Linked DNA regions of Rhinolophus ferrumequinum. The main gene of each other region encodes a partner of the protein of the gene in region 2 in a complex. Links are inferred from orthologs where the notes say so. Each region holds a gene or a part of one and is shown on either strand. Other genes may lie near its edges.

The links.
Region 1: RIPK3 (region 2) and ZBP1 share a complex: the UniProt entries of both Homo sapiens proteins name them as parts of the AIM2 PANoptosome complex. The link is inferred for Rhinolophus ferrumequinum from reciprocal best matches to the Homo sapiens genes RIPK3 and ZBP1.

The regions. Positions count from the first base shown.
Region 1 is NC_046306.1:4,310,920-4,318,817, forward strand, and holds the start of ZBP1 (Z-DNA-binding protein 1), read left to right. Parts: upstream 1-4,690; 5' UTR 4,691-4,931; coding exon 4,932-4,965; intron 4,966-7,579; coding exon 7,580-7,801; intron 7,802-7,898.
Region 2 is NC_046289.1:74,475,782-74,483,164, forward strand, and holds the start of RIPK3 (receptor-interacting serine/threonine-protein kinase 3), read right to left. Parts: upstream 3,121-7,383; 5' UTR 3,082-3,120; intron 2,990-3,081; 5' UTR 2,938-2,989; coding exon 2,918-2,937; intron 2,719-2,917; coding exon 2,578-2,718; intron 2,466-2,577; coding exon 2,156-2,465; intron 1,693-2,155; coding exon 1,547-1,692; intron 1,422-1,546; coding exon 1,375-1,421; intron 1,167-1,374; coding exon 999-1,166; intron 890-998; coding exon 804-889; intron 565-803; coding exon 217-564; intron 98-216; coding exon 1-97. UniProt on the Homo sapiens protein: Serine/threonine-protein kinase that activates necroptosis and apoptosis, two parallel forms of cell death. Necroptosis, a programmed cell death process in response to death-inducing TNF-alpha family members, is triggered by RIPK3 following activation by ZBP1.

The DNA.
Region 1 (7,898 bases), on a different chromosome or scaffold from region 2:
ACCCCTACCCCAAGCTCTGAAACAGCCACCCAGACTTACTCCCGGCCACAACCTGAGGGACTCCTGTGTCTTATGGGGTGTGTGCCCTCATTTCCTCATTTTACCTTCTGGGCATAGAAGTCTTAGCACCTCAGGCTTCCAGATGCCTTTGAAAATGTTTGAGTTCCAACATATAGGGGAGGAAAAAAAAGCATTGCAAAATCAGAATCAATGAATGTTTAATTAAAAGTCTAAAAACCTAATATTATGTCAAGTTCATTAACTGTTCCGTTTAGTCATCATAAAAATTTCATTACACTTAATTATATTTGAAACAAATTTATAGGTGAAATGGTCCCACTTTGCAAGAATTCCCAAGAATCCTGGACACTCAGTGGAGAATGTTTGGTCAATTGTAATTAAATGAATTTCTTGTAGGTAAATAATTCAGCAAACAAAATTATCACAAAATCATTTGATCATAAAAATAAAAGTTAGATGTGAATTGATTTCAATATATTTGTCGGGATGTGGAGAAGGGCTTTCCAAAAAGAATTGGTGGGGGAGGAAGAGTGTGAGAACTGCCCAGGGCTGGCCATGTCCCCTCTCCCTTTCAGGACCATCTCCTGCCACCTGCCACCTGCACACAGGGTCACTTTCCAAATCCCCATCTCTCCATGGATGAAAGTCCTCCTTTCCTTTGCCCCTGGGGAAAATTTCAAGTTTCTACCACAGCCTTCAATGCTCTGGCCCCTGTCCATCTCCCCAACTCACCTTCCACCCACCCAGGTCCCCTTTACTGGCCAGAGCTACAGGGAATGGTGGTGGATCGGGGACTCAGCCTAAGCCACCTGCCAATCCCTGGATTGGGCAGTGTGGCCTCTTCTGAAGCCGGAGTGGAAGGGGAGCCAGGAACCAGGGAGCGGGCCGTTCCCCTGCTCCCCGCCTCTGCCGTCCACGGACCCCAGCTTGCGCCCTGAGATAAAGAAGGCACAAAGAATTATTTGGTGAATGACCAGATGAATAAATGGGACTGCTCTGTCACCTCGGAGAGGCACCGCTGGAGACCACATAATGATGATAAGACTAGTTCCTGTTTATTGCACACGTACTACATGCTCAGTGCTCTGCTAGCACCTTTGGCACCTGATCTCTTCTAACCTTTGCAACAACCCCATGGTGTAGGTTCTGTTCTGAGGAAGAAGCTTTTCAGAGGGAGAAACTGGGCTCAGAAAGAGTAGGGACTCACTCCAGACACAGAGCTTAAAGGTGGGGTGCCAGGACCAGAGCCCTAGGTCTGTCTGACTCTAGTGGACACGGTGACCCATGGAGGCCGGCCGAGTTCTGCCTTGAAGGTGGTGAACAGCGCCAGGCAGGTCCTGCTGGGGCTGCCGCGGAGTCTGCTGCCTTCCACGCAGCACCTTCGCTTGGACTGTTTCACCCCCTCTGCCGATGGCTCTTGCAACCTTGACCCTGTCTCTCTCTGGCCACCTCTGGTTCTTTGACCTTTGCCCCTGACAAAGACACATTATTATCCACATTTGGTGCCTTCTGACCTTCCACTCCCACCCCTGAGGTGAATTCACAGAGGAAATGTCAAAAATAACATCCAGGCTGCCTGGTAGAACGGAGACTGCGGTTTGCCAATACAATGTGCAGTAAAAATATCTCTCTTTTAAAAGGGAGAGAGAGAAATTTAAAGACTTAAGATCAGTAACGTGCAATTATCATCTGGTTTGGGCGGAGACTTCTAATGGTTTCCAGAAAAACACAAGCTATGAAAATGGAGAGTGCATTCCAAAGCAAAAAGAGATGTGGGCTCCAGCAAACAGGGATGCCATCTTGGAACCTCTGTGGCCTTTGAGCTCCTTCCCAGACGGAGTACGAGGCACCAGCATCCTCACCTCCCTTCCTCTCCCCTTTTGCCTTCCACACTGGACAGAGCCTGGAAAGTGCTTCTGAACTCAGCCTTGGACCTGCTCAATACATAGGCCCCAGTGAACGACCATACCTAAAGGCACAAAGAAGATGTCCTCACTCCGTCTCTGGCGGGAACAACAGAGCCTTGCAATGGCAGGGACAGCCAGGTCTCCTCCAATATCTGTTGTCCCCTATTTTTTAAGTAATAAACCACCAATTTTAGCTGGGTGCCTTGTGATCCAGAATAACGACCATCTTCCCCAGCCTCCCTTGCCGGGACATGAAGCTAATGGAATGTGTGTGCAACTTGCAACTATTCTTAAAGGGGAGATACCTGTCCTTTTCCCTTTTCCTCCCTCCTGCTGGAAGGAATGCAGATGTGATGGCTGGAGCTTGAGCAGCCATCCTAGAGCATAAGGCCAACCTGCGAGTGAGGGCCATAAATGGCAGAGCAACAAAATAGAAGTGCCTGGGTCTCAATCCCGTGGTGTGCCAGGCCAAACCTGGACCGCCTACCAGGCTGTTAGAGGAGAAAGAAAGAAGCATCTAGACTGTTTAAGCCACTGATATTTGGGTTAAAAACAATCCTTATAGTCAAAATTACCTTGAAAATCTCTTAAATTGAGAAGAGAACACAAGATAATCTAAATCTTTAAAAGCGCGGGTCCCACCCAGTGTGGTGAGACGCTCTCAGCAGGTTCATGGCTTCCATGAATTCCAGACAGCTGTGGAATGCTCCAGGAGGGGCAACCCACCCACATTAAATTGTATTTTTTCTTCTCTCCCTCTTTATTTTTTATTTATTTACTTTTTTTGTCTAGGGCCTAAAGTTGTATTGTAAACATGTGTCACATTTTCTAACTTACGCAAATTTTGTGAGCACCAACTAAGTGTCATATAGATATGCTTTTTCTTATTTACCATCTCAGTTTTATAGTGAAAGAAACTGAGGCTCAGAGAGGTAGTGACCCACAGCTAGGGAGGAGCAGGTGGCAGCTCAGATCAGACCTGCCCTGGAGAAGAAGGTGAGGCAGCATCTTTGTCCAGGTGGCACCTCCCGGGGTACTTGGCCTTTCCAGCACAGTGGTTCCTGCTGCAGGTCCCTAAGGACCACTCAGACAGCCAGCGCTCCGCGTGGTTTCAGGATAGGAAAGAGAGACACTGGGGACAGGAAGGGACCCTCCAAACACTGCCCAGATGGCCAAGAGGGTGCCAGCCTTCACTGCTGAAGCACAAGTGGTACTTCCAGAAACCAAACTGACCCTCAGGATCAAGCTTGAGTCCCTCAGCCTGACCTGCAAGCCACCAGGCCAGGCACCTTCCACACAAAGAGATCAGCGGCACGCAGGGAACAAAGCAAGAAGCCTGAGCAGGAGCGGCCAGGGAGAAAGGGGGAGAAGCCGGGTGTCGGGCCAGACGGAGTCGGGGTTTCCCGGGGGTGGGGAGGGTGATAGGTGGGAGGTCCCCCCTCAGCCAGAGAGGACCAGGCAGAGGTGGGCCGGGGTGAGTGGGCGCCACCTGGTGGCCAGTCCGAGCACGGCGCCTCCCAAAGTCCACTGGGAGGCTCAGCGGGAGCCCCCTCCCCAAGGATGGGCGGCTCCACAGTCTTCCTCAACACCTGCAACTACCTCGCATTTAAAATTAATATTGTCAATTCATATGGAGATACACGCTTCTTCGGTTTTACATAAGACAGATACAAAAGCATTATTGTGGTTTCCTGTTTTTATTGTGTTGACCAAGACTTCCCCAACCTCACCCGCCAGGCGGATAACATCACCTGAACCGCCAGAGATTCAGATTTAACTGGTCTGGCTGTGGACTGGGTATCAGGACTTTCCCTGCTTGCTTAGCAAAGGCAGCTTGGAGACGAGCGTCCAGCACCCATTTATTTCCTCGCTGCTATCGCTGTTCCTAGGCCCTCCCTTTGCAGAAATGCTGAGCCACGGGTCCGCGGAGGGAACGCGGAAACCCACGAGCCCGCCTAGGCTACTGCACTGGGACTCTGAGCCCAGGGACTTCCGAGGCTGAGTTCTTCACCCGCTTGGGCTACCTCACACAGGCCTCTGTATAGGCCTGTTTCCCCTCCTATTACCTGAAAGACAACAGTGGCCCTGAACTGCTTGAGGGTCACCGGCCCGTTTGAAAATTTATGAAAAGCAATGGGTCCTTTTTCCAGAAACATGTGGGTGCCAACTGTGCTTATGACTGTAGATGGCACTGGTGGCTCTGATTTCTCAGCTGGATTAACCCCTTCATCCTCACCACGGCCTCCTCACTCAGGTAGCTGCTTTTACTAGTTTTACAGATGAGTAAATGGGGGCACAGAGAGGTTAAATAACTCACCCAAGGTCACACAGCCAGTAAATGGGTGGGGAGCTGGGTTAGGACCCAAGAATCTGTGGCCTTGGACAAGTGACCTCACCAATCTAAGCCTCGGTTTCCCCTCTGAGAAAAGAGGCCAGTACTAGTCTTTACTCGGTAGGTGAGCCAGAAGGGCACATGAGATTGGAAAACACACAGTAGCTGCTCATTAAGGACAGCTGTCATTTTGATACGCACACAATCTCCAGGCACCCACCCAGGAATCTTGGCCTGTGTGTTGGGGGGCGGGGTCAGGGTGGGCATCAATGGGCACCCGGCAGTTCGGGAAAACCCCCGGCCCCAGGGGATGCTCTAGTCTTGCCAAGCTCATCTCACCCCACCAAAGTCTAGTCAGAGGCTTCCTCTTGCTCAATACAGCTTTCGGTTTTGTTTCTTTCAAAAGCCACACACACCCGTTTCATTTTTCTTTTCCTCCACAAAGCTGATAAATGTGGGCAGGCTAGGCTTCTGTTTCCGTGATGTGAAGAGCTGACACCTGCCTGGTTGGAGCTGGCCTCCCTTCACAGCTGCCAGAAGCACCGGGCTCCACCACACGAGGACACCCAGCCCCACCTGGCTCACTCTCTCAAGGCCACAGTGCAGAAGCCTACAGCTGTCCCCCAGTCCCCCTGCCAAGCCACCCGGGATTTCCAGCAACTGCTGTCAGCATGGCCGAGGCCCCTGTGGACCCAAGTGAGACAGGTACTTTCTTCTTTCTAAGGAACAGCGGGAATCTGGGTGGGACTGGCACTTCTCTCTCTGGCTCCTTCGCTTGTCCCAGATGGCAGCAATGATAGCAACACACGTGCCATGCATTTTGCAATAACCTCAGCGGTAAGTACAAAGGTGTTTCCATTTCCCACGAGATCACCAAGCCCTGTGAGGTGAAAGGACTCAGAGCATCAGGCTGACGACAGGGCTAAGCACCTGGCTTCACACTCATTTCCAGAAAGAGCAGAAATTGCTTTGATTAGAAGTGCACATTTCCCCCGTTGTGTTCTTCCTCAGATAACACTCCCAGGAGGATACCAGCAGGGGTGAACCCTGTGCTCAGCCAGGTGGTGAACCATTGCTGCATTCTCCGGCCACCACTAGGGGCTTATGGGCTGTGGGCTGAGGGTGGTTTGGGGTGGAGGTGGGGGTGGGGTGTTGTTATCATTAGCTCATTTAATCCTCACCACAAGTTTTGAAGGAGCTGCTATTATCCCCACCTCACAGATGGAGAAACTGAGGCATAGAGAGTTCACACATCTAGTAGGTGGCAGAGCTGGGGCTCAAACCCAGGAAACCAGCCATCAGAGAACAAGAATGAGGAAAACAGGGTGTGCTGGGGAGGGGTGCTGGCAGGGTATGGCTCAGGTTCCTGTCCTACTTCCCCGTGGGGGACGGACACACGGGGACTGGTCAGTGGTGCTTAGGAACTGAATTTTCCTTCTTCCCCAGTGGGCTTTCCTCTCCTTACCAACTTGTTGCTTATACTTCTTCCATTTCACAACCTCCGGGATTTGTGGAAGGATCCCGCCCTTGGGGGATGGCCTTCATACACGTCTCTGACCTGACTCCTCCTTTGCCAGCAGGAAGGTGGAAGAGGGCAAGGAGGAGGCTCACCCTGGCAGGCTTTTCAAGAATCAAAACTCTTAAAAAAAAAAATCAAAACTCTTTTCAAGTCAAGGCAAAGCGAGATGTGTAGTGGGTTGGACGAGGATTTCTGGTGGCTGGGGTGGCTGCTCAGGGCCGAATGTGGTGGGTGAAGGGACCGGCGTCCCAGGTGTTCTAAGCGCACCTCACCTACGCGCAGCAAGGACAAACGCATTCTGACCACAAAGGGAAGCCACAGCGCCCAGCTGTAGAGCCAGCAGCTGAGTTGCCCCTCCCCCCAGAAAACCCCAGAAAGCAAAGGGTCGGATATGGCCACCGCCCTGGAAGGCAAGCCAGATCCACCCAAGAAGGGCCCTGCTTTGCATTACCCTTGGGGTTCTTGGGGGCACACACTTACTGATGACAGGCTGGGCTGCCACGCACAGCCGCTCTATCTTACAGGATCCTGTCCTCTCACTCCCCGCAGAGCAGCTGTCCCGGGTTTGTGGGATCCTGCCCGGGAGGAGCAGGGGCCCTTGGAGGGTTCCTCCTTGAGCCTCAAGGGATCCTGCTTAGGGTCGTTCATCTCAGGTGGGAAAACACAGACATGCTATCGGTCACCTGGGCCGACGTCTGTCCCAGTAGTGGATGAATCCACTCACTCACTCATTCACTCAGTCACTCATTCATTCCCGTGCCATTTCCTGAGAATCTACTGTGTGCCCGGCACTGCGCTAGACACCGAAGGTACAACAGTAAACCAGGCAATTCTGATGGGAGCTTCTTGGGGCAATTCTGTAGGGGACACACACACGTACAACACCCCGCCCGCTCAGGGCATCCAGGACAGCTTCCCAAAGGAGATGGTGTCTGAGTGAGACCTGCAGGGTGAGTAGACATCGGACAGGGGGAGGGGTGGGGAAACGTATTCCGGACAGGGAACAGCATGGGAAAAGGCCCAGGGGTGAGTGGGGCCGAAAAGAGCCCGGATGGGTTGGCACTTGGAAGGAAGTTGAGGGGGCAGTAAAGACCAGGCTGAGTGGTCAGCAGAGCCAGTTCTGGCTGCCAAGTCGAGGACTGGAGGGAACCTGACTGGAGTTGGACTTGCTGTCACTGTAGAGATGATGACACAGAATAGGGAGGTGGAAGCAGAGAAGAGAAGAAGGGATTCGAGAGAGCCGGAAACAGTATTTCCAGGACTCTGTGATTAGGCATCAGAGAGAGAGATCCGTTTCTGAATGTTGTGAGGTTGCTGGCTTGGGTGAATGTGACACCACCCATATGAGGATGGGAGCCCGGGAGGATTCTGCAGGGAGGCGGAGGCTGGGGTCAGGGCACAGAGGCATGCCTCCCAGGCGGTCACTCCGCCTCACTGCCCTGCCCTCTCTCCCCTCCCTCCTGCTCTCCTACCCTCACTCTCCTCATCCTGCCCCTGCCACTTCCCTCTCCTTTGAGGACACCTGAGAGCTGAGCGTCCACCTGCCCTCCAGGGATTGCTCACAGGGGGCAGAGGACCCGCGAAAGGCCTGGGTGCCTCGTCTGGCCACCAGGCCGTCTGGCCAAAGTCATTTCTGACCAGCCCATGTGCCCCTCACTGAACGAGGGTGGTGTTGGCAGATGTGTGCTCAGGCCTCTGCCCTGGATCCCTCTCACGGAGCTTCCCCTGCCCGCCGAGCCTCCAGCCCAGGCTCCGTTGTGGGGCCCTCAGTTCTCTCTCTGCCCCTCTCGCCTCTCCTAGACCTTGAGCAAAGCATCCTGCGGGTACTGAGGGAGGCTGGCTCCCCTGTGAAGACTGCCCAGCTGGTAAAGGAATGCCAAGTGCCCAAGAAGAAACTCAACCAAGTCATCTACCGGCTGAAGGCAGAGTCGCAGGTGGCCCTCGTAGGCCCCGGAACGTGGTGCTTGGGCGACGGTGGGACTGGAGAAGTGGTTCCTGCAGAAGGGGCCCAGCCCAGCCAGGGTAACCCACCATCCTGGGGGGGGGGGCCGGTTCAGACCAGGTAGGAGCAGTTCTGGCACTGGACAAGCTCGGATTTGGGCCTGCGTTTGAACACAGT
Region 2 (7,383 bases):
CTGGTATTGGATTTGGCCCCCACTCCCTGGGAGGATTCGGTATTGGATTTGGCTCTGGCTCCCTGGAAGGCCCGTTGGTGCCACCTCTCCCAGCCCCCTGTAAACAACAGCACAGCACTCTCAGGCTCTCTGTCCTGGGGCCTGTTTCCATGGCATAACCCCTTGATCCCAAAGTTTCCCTGGCAAGGGGACAGGATTTGCATCCCCTAGTCTCACCTGATTCCCTTGGGGTCTAGCACCTGGTGGCCAAGTCGAGGTGGGGCTGGGCTTCTGGTTTCTGAAAAGTGAGGTCTCCAGATTTGGGGGAGGTTGGACTGTTGAATCAGAAGACATCCTTGCTGTTTGGGCATGCTGAGTCTGTTCTCCCTGTGCCTCTATCTTCTTAGGAAGGTTTATACATTTTTCAGAAACAGAGCTGGGCAAACCTTCCAGATTCAGGTTTAGCATCTCAGAGACCATGGAATCAAGGCTTTCTGGGGTTTCCCTAGGGCCATCCATTTCTGTCCCTCCTGGGCCTGGCTCAGAGGCAGAAAACCTCCTGTGCTCAGACAGGAACTTCTTCACCTGCAAGGACAGGGGGACCTTGCTGGGTGTGGAGGTGGGAGAGACAGAGTAAACCCAAGGAAAGAGTCTCTTGGTCCATAATCTGTTGCCTGGGAATTCAGGGGTGGGGTGGAGAGAGTGGGGATGAGGTTCAAGGCATAAAGAACAGTGGTCAGTGGGGAGTCACTGGGGGGCCACAGGAGCCATCTGGTGCTATCTCCGCCCGGCTCTTTGTGTGTGGGTTGGTGTTGGGCACTCACTGTGGACACTGCAACATCCATCTCTGTACCAGTTACACCTGTATTCTGTACCATGTGGAGGGCTTTCTCAGTATGTCGTCTGCAGTCTGGAGAGAAAGCAGAGTGGGTGGCAGGTGAGCGAAACTTCTTTCCCAGGCAAAGACCCTGCTGACAGATCCAGGCCTGCCCCAGCTACCAGCTAAATGGCCAGCTCACCTTGGAATGAAGGCCTGTCCTTGGGCTCATTGCTGCAGCAGTCCTGCATTAACTGCGTCAGTTCTTCTAAGCCAGGAGTCTCAGGGCTGGGCTGGGGCAGCTCAGTCAGTGGGGGCCGGTTCTGCCTCTCACACACGGCTTTCTGCATCAGCGATATCTGGGGCACTACTGGGGTGCGGTGGGAGACATGAAGACAAAGCATTCAGGGTATGAGGGGCCACCTGCTCCATCATGGAAAGTGGCGGGAGTGCAGTCCAAGAAAAGGTGAGGAGGGAATAGGACAGTCTGAGCAAGTAAGCAGGAAGAAGAGGGTTTGGGGACTTTCAGGAGGAGGGCACCTGGGGTTAAGGATCCCAGAGTCTGCTTAAAGCCTTACTTTCAGCTTCTTTTCCAGCTAGCACTTCCCACAATAGGATCCCGAAGCTGCAGGAGACACAAAACTGAGGCCTGGCCCAACTGCTGACAAGACTCCTCTCCCATATACCTCCCTCTGGAAGGGCCCAGAGAGGTGCAGAAATTGGGATGTGTGTTTGGTGTGGGTACCTTACCTGTAGACATCACTGGCCGTAGAGGCCTTCCGGTTTACATCAGCCAACAGTTCTGGGGCTAAGTAGGCTAGGGTGCCCCCTGATTTCCCAGATCCTGCTGTTGACCTTGAGCCTCCCAGAAATGTGGACAGGCCAAAATCTGCCAGCTGCAAAGGGAAGGGCAAAGGAGAAGGAAAGGGGTGGACAGGGCCAGGCATCCCCTTCTTTCCCCGAGAAGGTGCAGGCCTAGCCATGTAAAGGGGGTGTGGAGGGTTAGGGGCATGGTAGGATCAGTGAGGTCCTTGGTTTGGAGGCCTGGGTCCCCTCTCCATTGGACTGGGTTAAGGGCTGAGTCTCCTGGGCTGTCAGCCATGGGTCTTTGTGGAGGGCCTAGTGGGGTGAGCCCCACAGTAGAAGTAACTGTGTCAGTCAGGGCTCTATCACTTGGTATGGCAGAGGCTAAGGCTGCTGGGTGGGCCTTGACATTTGGGCAGCCCTGTGTGCAGAGGGAAATGCTGAGGGTATTCAGTAGGCAGGGCTGCAGCAGGTGCTTTGTCCAATGGGTGGGGCTGGAGCAGCTCTGGGGCATGACCTTGTTTAGAGACTGGGCTGGGGTGCGGATGAGCTGACCTTGACGTGTAGGTCTGCGTCCAGCAGGACGTTGGAGAGCTTCAGGTCCCGGTGCAGAAGCACAGGGTTCAGGCTGTGCAGGTAACACATCCCGAGCACCAACTCCTGCAGCAGGCGGCAGAGGAACGGCCAGGGCCGAGGGCACTGGGGCTGCAGCAGCTCTACCAGGGAACCATTCTCCATGAATGGGGTCACCAGAGCTGGCCCAGACAAGTTGTCCCACTCCAGCTTCTCAGTGACGCCCAGCAGGAGCAGCACATGCTGGTTACGCAGACTTGCCATGGCCTTTACCTCCCTGCATATCACCTTCCTATACTCCAGGAGAGAGTTGGAGTCACTGCTCTGCTGCTGGGCAGATCCCTCCCTTCCCCATTCAGGACCTGCGGCACAGTGGCCTGCCTGCATGCAGCTGGGGCACTCACGAGTTCACGATCTTGACCGCCACATCAATACCCCACGACTTGTGTTGTGCGCAGAACACTGTGCCAAACCCACCTTCACCAATGTACTTCGGGTTCTTTAATTCCTCGATGGACACCAGGGGGGCTGGGGCACCACTGGGCCTGGGAGAGGGGACCTCATTCACCAGCTGGCCATGGCTTCAAGTCTGCACTGTTCTCTGCTGTGACCCCCATGACTCAGCAGGGTCGGTACAATCCACAGCCTCCCCTGTGGGCCCCACTGTCCCCCAGGCTTGGCAGGGCACAAAGCAGTCCCTGAGCTAGCCGGAGGGGCATCCTGTGTGTCCCATTCTCTACTCACCATAACTCGTGGCTAGACATCAGTCTGGAAGGTGTGAGTCCACATGGATGGAGTGACTTCTCCGAGTGGAGTCTGTGGCAGAGAGGGTTGGGGGTGGGGAGACAGGTCAATCTCTAGGCCACCTCACCGATTCCGCTTCCCGCTTCCCGGGTCTCTCTCCCTACCAGCGCTGAACAACTTCCTTGTCCGTCAGGCGCCTCTACAGTCCCGCCCCAAAGGGGCGGGGGGGGGCGGGGGGGGGGTAGGCCGAACGGAAGCTTAGTGCTTATCTTTTCTAACTAGTTATTTCCTAAAGCACCTGCTGCATGCCACAGCCCGTTAGATGTCACTGGGCACTTAGGGTGTCCCGGCAGAAGTCCTCACCTTGCAGGAACTCATAATCAACTCCCTTCTCCCGCCGGCGCCTCTCCCTCTTCCCACAGCAATCCCAGCTCCACTACCTGCCGGGCCCGGGCTAGGGATGCGACGGTGCTGAGGAGGATTGCACGGTACTGGGGCTCAGTTCTCCCCCAACTGCCCTAAGATTATAGCTAACACTCCCGTAAAGCTTGTCATGTGCCAGGTACATATATGAGTTTATATAACTCTCACATCGACCCTAAGGGCATAAGTACTGCTTTTATGACTTTTTTGTGGGTGAGGAGAAGGAGGCACTGAGAGTTTACCTCGCCCAAGCCAGTGAGGAACTGACTTCAGTGCCTGGCTTTCTTATCATCACCGTAAACTTTCCTATTTTCACATAGGCTTCAGGGCTGTACCATTCAGCTAGTGGTGAAGGTGGCTGAGGAAGGTGTAAAGCGTCCGACGGTGTGATGAAGGGTCCCTGTCTGTATTCCTGCCCAGTTCCTCCTGACAGCTGCTCTTGCTGAGGCAAGCCCTGGCATTGGTAGTGACTTGTCTGCTGTCAAGGGCAAAACCCACTCCCAGGGCAATAGGATCAGCAAGATGACTGGCCCAGCCAGGGGGTTGCTGACACGGTGTATGTGCAGTGGGAACACCTCAGGCCCTCCTTGCTCTCTCCCCCATGCCAATTCCTCCATGCAAATTCCTTGGTTGATATACATTCCCCACAAGCACATGCTCTGGACAAGGGCCTTTTAGAACTCAGGAGCTTAGGGAACCTTAAGGATTTAAGGTAGACAAAGGTTATTTTACCCGTGCAAGGCCTGACCATGGCTGGAGGTTGTGGGAGCTAGATACAGCTAACCCTGGGCACTCAGTCCTTCATGGGGAGACCCAACCCTGCGGGTCGTGTGCCAGCTGTCACTGGAAGGTCTCCTCTTGGTGTGCACTTTTTATTCTGTCCGGTATTCCATGGACTGTGCTGGTTGGAGAACAAGTGGCCAGCAGTTAACTGTGTTTTTTAGAGCAGCTAGGAACTCTAGACTCCAACTCATGAATTCTGGTGGAGTCCATCCATGCGATTTTGGAGGTATTTAGGGAACTCTTCGATTGTAGTCTGTTTAAAAGCCTATTTATGGTAGGCACCCATAAATATTTGTTGAATTGAATTAATAAATAAACAACCGAAACTTCTGGGGCTTCCTTAAATCTCTGACCATCCCTGCTGGAGCTCTACACTCACTGGGAGGAAAGAGGAGCTTGGGCTTCTTTATGGGTTAGGGGCTCTCACCAGCACGGTTGACAGAATCCATCTGAAGTAGACTTTATTACAGAGATGTGGTGGTATCTCACAGACTATAAAGGCAAGTGCAGCAGGTCCTCAAAAAAAGTCTAGTCAGGAGCTAAGAGCCATCAGAGATGTCAGCCATTCCTATCGTGATTCTCCTTTGGTAGAAGACTCTGGGCTCAACATTGGGGCTCCGCTTGAAACGTGTTAGAGGAGTGTTTCTATGGTTGGATTTCTTTAGATTGGGACAAGATCCGGAGAATCAGGGGTAACCCACTATGAAGCACAGGGTTGGGGACAGTCAGAGCCTGTCCTGCTTTCTGACTCAAAATAAACCAAACCCCTTTAGAAGAAGGGGAAGCAGGGATGTGAGTCTGCAGTGAGTGCCTGAGAAGACCCTCTGCTTCTGCTAGGCTGGCACTGGCAAGGCAAAGTTGATTCCTAGATTTTTGAAGCTCTGAACTTTTCTGAGGCCTGGTGCCCCTGACTCCAGCTATCCCAGGCTTTTGGAGTCTATTTGGGTGTCTGTCATTCCTTCAGTTCTCTGCTCCTGATTATCTTTGCTTATCTTCAGCCCACCAGTACACACTCTGGTTCCCTATCCTTAGTTGTGGGGGTGGGGGCAGAGGATGTGGTCTTTCTTCTCGGATAGTCTAGCCTTAACTAATTCTCATCTGTTGTTTGATTAAGAGATTTTACTCATAGACCAAATGGTATTAAGGTGATGGCAAAAAGGATTATGGAGAATTTTCATTTTCCATAGTGTTTGAATATTTTATACTAGCATATATTACTTTTATAAACAGTTAAAGAAGACAGAAGATCACAATGTATACAAAAATTTAGTTATAAAGATATTAACTGAAATGTTATTTAAAATAGTAAAAAATAGAACCCTAAAATCCAATAATAAAAAAGACTGAGTGAATTATTCAATGGAAGACTATGTAGCTGTTAAAAGGATGCTCTTGATCTATATTTATTTATATGACAGGTGTTGATCGTATATCAAATGGAAAAAAAACGGGTTATAAAACAACTCGTATGTACCACATAATCACATTTCTGTTTGTTTTAAAAATTCTTTTCCAGTAGTATGACTGAGTTCTTAAAAGCCTCCCATAGCAGAATACTTAAATGCTATATAAAACACAACAAACACATATGTTAAAAGTTCCTTAGTGAGCTCCCTTAAAATAAAGGTAATCTCCCAAGGGCATCCCCTGAAATCAACAAAATAAGACAATACAAAACAAAAGGTATATAGTGAGTAAGCAGAGAGTTCAACTAACTAGAAACCTAGAGCTTTGGGGACTGGATAAGGGTATGGGAAATTAGGGGAGAACCAGAGCATAAGCCTTAGGGCCTAGAAAGATGGAAGAGCTAAATATGAGACACCCTCATCCCCGAAAAGCTGGGACCATCAAAGAGTCAGTTTTTCTCACTGGAAAGAAAAAAGTCTACTTGCTTGCGGAGGGAACCTACAAGGAAATCTGTCTAGGCTGTAGCACTAGATGTTAAAATGAATAAAAGTGTTAGTTTCCATGTGCGACCTGTTCTCTTTCCCTTTGATCGAATAAACCATAAGCTGAAACTTTTAAGTGGCCCAGATTATTAATGTCCCCTGGAGTCCAGCAGAAGCAAACTGAGTGCCTTAGAGGAAAGCATCCTCAATCCAGTCTTCTGGATTAAATTCACCCAAATATAAACTCACCAAAAAATTACTAAATATACAAGGATTGAAATAACTATGAAGGAGAGTCAGCAGCAACAATAATCAACAGTTTTAGATCTTTAAGGACTTCAGAATTTGGAATAATCAGATGAAGAATCTAAAGAAGCTATCATGAAATGTTTAAAGAATAAAAGATGTAGTAGAAAAAGTGAATAAGTCATAAGAGAGTATTAAAAAAAAATGCCCAGATAGATTTAGGGAAAAAATAGAACAACAAAAAATAAAAATTTGTATATAACTATTAAAATTAAAATTGCAATGCTTGGTCAAACAGAAGATACAGCTGAAGAGAGAAGTAGCGTGCTAGAACGGACCTGAAGAAGTTCCCCAGGATACAGAAAGAGAGACAAGCAGATAGAAGAATTAAGAGGCAAAGACTGAGGCAGTCCAACAATTAGCAAATTGGATTCCCAGAAGGAGAGAAGAGGAAAAAAAATGCGAGCCAAGAAATATTTGAGGAGAAAGTGGCTGATAGTTTTCAAAAGTTGATGAAAGGCAAGAAAGAATCCAGGAATATAAGAATCACTATTTATACCAAGAAGGATAAATATGAAGAAATACACATCTAGATACATCTTAGTGAAACTGCAGAACAATCACGACAAAGAAACAATCTCAAAGGCTACAGAGAAAACATAGACCATCTAAAAATGAACATAACTAAACTGGCATCACACTTCTCGACAGCCATACTGGAAACCAGAAGAGACTGGAAATGATTCAAAGTGTTTTTAAAAAGGGGGAAAATCTGTAAACAAAGAATCATATACCCAGAAGAGTTATTTTCTTCAAGAGCAAAAGTTTTATAAAAATACATTTTTAAATAAATGAAAACTGAGTTTACCACTAACAGTCTAAAGAAATTTCTGGTGGCTGTGCACCAAGAAGATAAAGAAAACTTACCCCAGATGGGACATGTAAATGCGAGAAGGAATAGCAGTTTCCACTAAGTTCAACCACAAAAACAATTAGCATCATATTAAACCCCTAGAAAGAAAGGGGATGGCTCACTGATTTAAAAAAGGATCTGCTGGACACCACCTCAGGGATGATGGAGATGCCTGATCACTGCATTGTACACCTGAAGCTGAAGCTGAACAA